Linked DNA regions of Macaca mulatta. The protein of the gene in region 2 interacts with the protein of the main gene of each other region in a biochemical or structural test. Links are inferred from orthologs where the notes say so. Each region holds a gene or a part of one and is shown on either strand. Other genes may lie near its edges. The genes, in order: ANG and RNH1.

Evidence for each region.
Region 1: the proteins of RNH1 (region 2) and ANG are reported together in a solved structure, tested with the Homo sapiens proteins (3 studies listed by BioGRID and IntAct, with this or other methods). The link is inferred for Macaca mulatta from reciprocal best matches to the Homo sapiens genes RNH1 and ANG.

The regions. Positions count from the first base shown.
Region 1 is NC_133412.1:93,530,322-93,534,656, reverse strand, and holds the start of ANG (angiogenin), read right to left. Parts: upstream 2,821-4,335; 5' UTR 1-2,820. UniProt on the Homo sapiens protein: Secreted ribonuclease that can either promote or restrict cell proliferation of target cells, depending on the context. Endocytosed in target cells via its receptor PLXNB2 and translocates to the cytoplasm or nucleus.
Region 2 is NC_133419.1:390,587-394,389, forward strand, and holds part of RNH1 (ribonuclease inhibitor), read right to left. Parts: intron 2,512-3,803; coding exon 2,341-2,511; intron 1,882-2,340; coding exon 1,711-1,881; intron 1,108-1,710; coding exon 937-1,107; intron 859-936; coding exon 688-858; intron 550-687; coding exon 379-549; intron 66-378; coding exon 1-65. UniProt on the Homo sapiens protein: Ribonuclease inhibitor which inhibits RNASE1, RNASE2 and angiogenin (ANG). May play a role in redox homeostasis. Required to inhibit the cytotoxic tRNA ribonuclease activity of ANG in the cytoplasm in absence of stress.

The DNA.
Region 1 (4,335 bases), on a different chromosome or scaffold from region 2:
AATATGCTCTGCTCATGAGGAAACTCTAAGAACAAACAGCAGAGGAATGGTGGAGTCAGACTTTGAACCCTTTGTAAACAAGGAGAAAACTGACCCATCTTTCCAGACTTAGCTCAAGCAACACCACCTCTTTTTGAGTCCCGAAAAGCGGAACTCCGCCACAACATACAACCCACATGTGCCTGCATACACACAGCGCCATGGCCTGAAGCTCCAATTCAAGCACCAACTCACACAAACAGAGCAGCCTCTGATTTTAGAGTTCTGCAGTAGTGCTGGGCTGGGGCAACCAGCAGCCTCTGAATATAGTCAGGTCCCTTCTCTGCCTCTGGGCCTTTACTGGACAACCTTTGGAGGACTCACAATCTGCCCACAACGCCAAAAGACAGTTTTTTGTTTTTCTTTTAAACTTGGCACAAGGAAGTTTTGTTGAAACAAAAAGTAGGGTTTGGGGGAAAAATTACTATTTCATTAGAATGCATCTAGGTACTTAGTCATTTGTGTTTTAAAATACAACAAGGAATTATATTCTATGATTAAGGAACATCACATCTTTGTCAGTAATTTTAGTACAAATGAAGGAATTGCCAATTGCAAAAAAACTTCATATATTTTTTAAATGTTCAGACAGTTTTAACTTGAAAGTCATTCCCCTTTCCTGGAGATTTTTTTCTCTCTCCCTCAAGCCAATAATGTCCCTGCACACAGACACGGGATGCATGGGTCCTGTTTCCAAGGACTCTAGTGTTGGAGCACTTTCCTCCTTCATACAGAGTATCTATGTTTCATTCTGTCTCAGGACTAAAATTAGATGATGGGAACAATGGACTAAATAGTTTCTAAATTTCTTTATTATTCTAACAGTTTAGGTCTATAAGCATGAAACTTAATCAGTAATGGAAGTAACAGGTAAAGAAGGAAAAGCCCCCGTGAAAAGAAGAACCACGTCTCCAGGAAGTGGCAACACTACTGACTGAAGGACAGTGGGGACAAAGTCCTGCTGACACGCCTGTATTTCCAAACAAAGACAAAAATTAAACATTTGCTTTTCAACCCACTCTGGGCTTTGTGCCCACTCCCTCTTTCCCAGGTATTTCATGGCATTCTTCTGGGAATAACTGTTTACAGAGAATTACAGAGAATCTGCTTAAATACAGATTAAATAAAAACTCCTAAAGAAAGGTTTCACTGGCCTCCACTGGTCCACTTTTTTATCCATCTACTTTAATTTGAGTCACAGTGACAAATGCTTCCAACAATAACTTGGCAAACCTCTTATACTTGCCTGCTTGTAACCTGATTATCTGCTGTCAGCAATAGCTAAAGCCATTCCTCTTTTCCTGGAATGATTTTTTCCATCCTCTCTGCCAAACTATAGTTCGTCTCCACATTACTAGAGTGCCTCATATCCTGTTTCTAACATCGCACCACTCCATGCAGTCACAGAACAATAGTGGGAGGGGCCTCTGAGACCGTCTGTCCACCCCTCATACTAAAGAAAAGGCAACTGAGGAACAGAGAAAGAGACATGTATTGCCCAAGGAACTAACTCATGGCATTCGCGGGACTAGAAGCTTTCCAATGCACCACACAACTGTTTTTTTTGTTGTTGTTGTTGTTTTGAGATGGAGTCTTGCTCTGTCACCCAGGCTATCGGCTCACTGCAACCTCTGCCTCCCAGGTTCAAGGGATTCTCGTGTTTCAGCCTCCCCAGTAGCTGGGATTACAGGAGCTCACCACCGTGCCCAGCTAATTTTTGTATTTTTAGTAGAGACGAGGTGTCACCGTCTTGGCCAGGGTGGTCTCGAACTCCTGATCTCGTGATCCACCCACCTCGGCCTCCCAAAGTGCTGGGATTACAAGCATAAGCCATCGTGCCAGGTCCACACAACTTTTATTTTCCATACTAGTACTGTCTAGACAATCAAAGCTAACTTTAAAGGGGCCACTGAAAGTTGCTGTTCAAAGGAAACCTACAGTGACTATTACCATAAATTCAAAAAATATTTTACTCTGCTTGTCATCCGTAAAAGAATTGCTTGAATTGAAGCGTATGTAACAAACCTATCCTCTTGCAAAACTAATTAGTGGCTCTGTGGTTAAGTAAGTCTTGGAATACCTGCGGCTGCTTCTGGGAAGGTGGTCCTGTGCTGCAGATACATATGTCACTTGGGTTTCTATTGATTACATTATTACTTGATTATAAGATTCTCACTGTCAGGAGGGAGGATCTTGGCTCATCTGAGATTTCCTTAGCCCCCTGAGTGGTGCTGAAATTGTTTTAATAAAGATGTTGCGCTTTACTCATGTGCTGCTGTTAGCATTTGACGTGCTGTCTCAGAGTGAAAAAACGGAGGATCCCAGCCTTCCAGTAGGAAGGCTTAAAGAGGCTGTTGGCAAGTGTCTCCAAGAATTGCACAACATTTGTTGAGGGTGGGTTAAGGGTGGGGAGGCAGAGGAGAGTAAACAGAAAATACCGATCCCCAAATGTTAGTTACGCTTGCAAAAACTAAGGCCTCCTTCAAAAATCTGGTGATTAACCTGAATAACAAGCAAAGCTTTCTTAGTTGTGGGCAAGTGCAGACCTCCTAGGGCTTCCCTTAGGTTCGGCGATTCTGTGGTCCCCCTCCAAGCCTACTAATCAATAGAAGCTGGCATCTCTGCCCAGCTGCGCAAAGTAAAAACCTGAGTGGGAATGTAAAGTCCTTAACTCATACAAATACTGGACTTTCACCTCCCTCCCCATTCCTCCCTCTCCAGCCCAGTCCCGCAAAAGCCTCCCCGAGGAGTCCCAAGCTGCTTCTACTAGGAAAGAACTCCCCGGCCACAACGCCCCTGATGTAGCTACCAAAGAGCAAGAGGAGCAGGAGTGTGAACGTACCTCGGCCTCTGAACAAGTTGGCAGAAATGGGCAGGACGGTAGAAAGAAGTTTTGTTTCTCACCAGCTTCTTCCTCCCTAGTACGACGATGGGGAGGCCGTAGAAAACGCAAAGATGTTCTTTTGAATCCTGCCTTGCATCTGGGTGGAGTGGCGTGCTTGCGTGAGTGTGTGTACCCGGACGGAGATGGGGGCGTGGTGAGGAGTGGAGGGTAGGCTTACGAGCCTCTGCGTAGCTGGGACCGCGCCCTGCTTCTCCCAGGAGGCCTCTCCCGCCTGCATCCGCCCTTGGAGCTGGCGCTGCAGCAGCCCCTCCCCAGGGGCCGCAGGGGCACCCCAGGCAAAGAACGAGTCTAGGATCCACGCTCCTTCCTCAGCTGGAACCCAACGGGCAGCAGCCGCGAGCGCACTGCCTCCACGGAGAGCAGATGGCGGGAAACTGGCTTCTGCTCCCAAGAGCCAGGCGGCCCTTAGGAGACTACTCCTGGCTGAGTGTCCAGGAACCCATGAAGCTCGGTCTTGACACTGGTCGGCAGCCCCATCTGCCACGTACTTATTTGGTGCTGCTTTCTTTAGCAGGACAGCCCAAAACGAGACAGTCTGTATTTCAAATTTAACGGAAACTTTTTTCAGTAGTTGCCAAAAGAGGGTGGAAAAAACAGTAAACCTGAGGGCTCGTCCGGGATTTGAACCCGGGACCTCTCGCACCCAAAGCGAGAATCATACCCCTAGACCAACGAGCCACCGTGTTAGAGGTGGCTTCATATTACTCTGAATTTCTGTTTTCCGCCTGCCGTTCTGAAGGTTTTTCTGTTTTTGTTTTTTTTCTTTGTTGTGACATTTCCCTTTGGCCTTATTTAGTTATTCCTTCCATCTTTACCAAGTTTCAAGTATGGCTTATTGTCTGGCTTATTCTCCTCGATCCAGACGCAGGATGGGGTGAACGAAGGCAACTTTTTAGACTTTAGACATCCTTGCGTCTCACTGAGCCCGGGAAGCGATTTAAGCTCACTAGAGCCTGGTGGGAACCTGGAGGGGTCTGAGATAGAGATCGAGGGCCAGAGCTGAGCTCGGTTGCAAGGCTGTAGGTTACTGAGCCCCAGGACAGACGCGCTCTATGTATATACCTGCCGGCCTTTGGACTTAACGTAGAAGCCAAAATATAACACACTTCGGTAAGATAACGGTGCCTTCCCCCAACGGTTGGATGATTCGGGTCTACTGTCTTTCAGAGCTAGGTAACCAACTTTTCAAGGAGTGATCAACGCAGCTCAACTCGTGGCTAAGCTGTTTCCTTCGGACAAGGGTAAGAGATAGAGATTTCATCACGTTAACATAGGGATGTATTGCGCAAACGAAGAGCTACTGTAAACCCCAAAACATCAACCTCTCCTTCGAGCCGGAATCGAACCAGCGACCTAAGGATGACGACACGCTACGTACTACAGTCCTCCGC
Region 2 (3,803 bases):
TATTCTGGGTCAGCACCGAGCTGAAGTGGGAGCAGCAGGCGGCTGTGAAGCTGCAGGACTTCACCCTGTGGACAGACAGGACTGAGGCCTGGCAGCGGACCAGGCTGGCCCACAATTGCAACTGGCCCTTCTCCTGAAAGCCCCACATGGACCTGAGCAAAAACATCTGAGAGCCTCCCAAGGTGTGGGCACCTGCACCTGGTCCTCAGCCCCAAGCACCGTTACTATCAAACCACAGGCTGCTCCCTGGCCCATGCATTCTGAACGCCAGAGCTGAGCCCAGCACCTCCACTGGAGTCGCTCACTCCTCCCCTGGTCTCCTTGGTGACCCTGGCCCTCTCTTGGGCGACAGGGCCCTGCCCCGACAGCCACACTCACCACAGTGACTCCAGCTGGCAGCCGGGCTCCAGCAGCGTCTCACACAGCAGCCGGGCACCCTCGTCCCCCAGCTCGTTGCCGGCCAGGCTGAGCTCCTTCAGGCTCTCCTTGGTCCTGAGGACACGGCACAGATCCGCACAGCCCTTGGCGGTGATGCCACACTCCCAGATCCTGCAGGACATGGACCCCCCCAGACTTTCCTCAGCGCCATCTCATGGCCTGAGGTGCGCCCAGCGGGTGGGGGAGGGCTCTGAGGACGGCCCGCGGCCCCTGACCCTCCAGGAAGGAGGCCTCGGGGAGGTGACTCACCACAGGGTCCTGAGGCTGGAGCTGGGGTGGAGCAGCCCTGGGCACAGCTCTGCAATGCCCACATCACCCAGCTTGTTGCTGCCCAGGGCCAGCTCCCGCAGCGAGGCCTTGGAGGCCACGATGCTGCACAGGTCCCGGCAGTTGTTTGACGTGATACCACAGCTCTCCAGCCTGGGGACGCAGGTCACGCGTGAAGCAGCATGGGACCCCCGGCCCACACCCCGCACCTCCCCAAGGCCCAGGGCCTACTTGAGCGCCTCCAGCTGGCAGGGGGAATCCTTCAGGCCCTGGCACAGCACACGGACGCCGGCCTCATTGATGTCGTTGTTGCTAACCGTGAGCTCCTTGAAGTCCGGCTTGGCCCTGAGCACGGAGGCCAGGGGCTCGCAGCTGGCAGCCGAGAGGTTGCAATACTCAAGCCTGGGGGGTAGCCGAGCTTAGCACCACACAGGAATGTGCACCAGCCAAGGGTGTGATGCCAGGGAGTGCAGGGGGGTGCTGGTGTCTCATCTCTCCCTCAGCCTTCTCCTGCCTAGGCATCAGGTGGCAGTGCTGAGGGCCCCCCCAGACTCATCCAGAGGCCCAGGCCTCTGTGGACACCGGCATTCCTTCTGGAAACCCCTCACCCCCTCCCCGACCTCGGACCTCGGGGCCCAACCAGGCCCAGGACAAAGAAACCAGCCTCTGGAGGGCAGGGCCGCCTGCACGTGCCAGGCCGTGGTCAACTCACAGTGGCCGGGCCCCCCACACACACTGAAGTGGTGAGTGGAGCCGGACTCACGGCCAGGTCTGTTCCCACTGTCAGGTCCTGGGGCAGCTGTGCCTTGCAAAGGGCAACTGGAGGGGGAGGGAGGGCGACGACAGATCCCCCCAGTCCCAGCATCATGGAGAGGGGAGAGCACCACAAGGACCCTGTGACCTGAGTCCCTCCTCACGGCTCCTGGCAGGCGATGTGCTATATAGGGGGCTGGCTGGGGGACAGGCAGTGGAGAGCATGGGTCCCGGGGCAGGGGACACACTCACTGCAGCTTTTCCAGGCGGCACTGGGGGTCCAGGAGTCCCTCGCAGAGCAGCTGCAGGCCCGCATCCCCCAAGAGGTTGTCGCTGAGGTGCAGCTCCTGCAGCGTGGGCAGGGAGCGTAGCGTGCCGGACAGGACCCCGCAGCCGGCCCCCGTCAGGTAGCAGTTCTGGAGGCTGGAGCATACCTGGCCGTCAGCAGGGCTCCCCTGAGCCAAACTGCCACACCCTTCACCTGCCAGAGCCTGGAGCCCGGAGCGGCGCTCTGCAGGCAGTAGGTCTGTACTGCTCCTTCCCTGGTCAGGCCGAGTGAAGGAGGGCACACGTGTGGCTCGGCTCAGGGAAACCTTGTCTGCAGACACACCCTTCAGCAGGGGTCCTGTGGTGATGCTGGAAGGCCAGGGATGGCGGGCGGGCCCAGACCTTGGGCGCAGGGGCTGGGACAAGGCAGGAGGGGCCCTGTCCCCCCGCCGTGAGGCCACCAGGCCTGTGTGCCTCTGGCTGATGCTGGAAATGCCCGCTGCCACCGCCTGCCCACCCACAGCTGCCCACGAGCCCCTGGCAGCTTTTTCCCCTGCTGCCGGGCTACCAAAGCAGGCCGCACCAGGCCAGAGGCAGTGCCAGGCCCCACCTCACCTCAGCTTCTGGATCTTGCAGGAGGGGCTCTGCAGGCCCTGGAGCACGCAGTGCACGCCAGCATCACCCAGCTCATTGCTGCGCAGGCTGAGTTCTGTCAGTGCAGGGTTGACTCGGAGTGCCGAGCTGATGTCGCCGCACCGTGCCTCTGTGAGGCCACAGTCGTCCAGCCTGCAACCAGACCCCAGGGTCATGCGGGCCACACTCAGGCTCCTCCACTACCCCACGCGCAGATTACAACCCATCAGCGGGCCCAGAAGACAGCACGGCAAGTCACACAGGACGTTGCAGAAATGAAACAAAAAAGAGGAGAACTGTTCTGTGAAAGTTTTAAGGCCGGGCGCAGTGGCTCAAGCCTGTAATCCCAGCACTTTGGGAGGCCGAGACGGGCGGATCACGAGGTCAGGAGATCAAAACCATCCTGGCTAACACGGTGAAACCCCGTCTCTATTAAGAAATACAAAAAACTAGCCGGGCGAGGTGGCGGGCGCCTGTAGTCCCAGCTACTCGAGAGGCTGAGGCCGGAGAATGGCGTGAACCCGGGAGGCGGAGCTTGCAGTGAGCTGAGATCCGGCCACTGCACTCCAGCCTGGGCGACAGAGCGAGACTCCGTCTCAAAAAAAAAAAAAAAAAAAAGAAAGTTTTAAGATGCTTGCACGTATGCAGACGTGTGCCTGAGGCCTCACGTGCTCCTCGCCTCCAACCCTGAGGCACGAAGCACAAAAGCTCCTGGTCTGTCTCTAGGGAAAAAATCAAACCTGTCTGAGGTGACACCTACGGGAACTGCCTGGAACAGGACGCAGCAGGTAGTTCAGACACCGGAGCAAATACACAGTGACACCAGCTTCTAACATGACAAATACACATACTCCAGTCCTTCCTGATTAAATGAATAACTGAATAAATACAGAAAGGAAAAAAACCAGGTCTTGCTCACAAAAGAATGACAATTGATCAATGTGGAGGAAAGAAAGAAATTACAAAATTCAGACCGGGCGCGGTGGCTCACACCTGCAATCCCAGCACTTTGGGAGGCCAAGGTGGGCGTCACCTGAGGTCAGGAGTTCGAGACCAGCCTGGCCAACATGGTGAAATCCGTCTCTACTAAAAATACAAAAAGTAGCCGGGCGTGGTGGCAGGTGCCTGTAATCCCAGCTACTCGGGATGCTGAGGCAGGAGGACTGCTTGAGCCCAGGAGGTCGAGGCTTCATGAGCCATGATGGAGCCGTGATGGAACCACTCCAGCTTGGGTGACAGAGTGAGGCCCTGTCTCTAAAAACAAAAAGAATTTAAAGTATCTCTCGAAGGCACTGATCGGTCACAGGAGGAAAGGCAGTGGCGTCACAGTGAAGAGGATTCTTGCCAAAAATGCGGGACTTCAACCATGAGAAACCATCAGACAAACCCCAAGAGAGGACGTCCTACAGGAGCACGGCCAGACCCTCAGACCACCAGAACCAGAG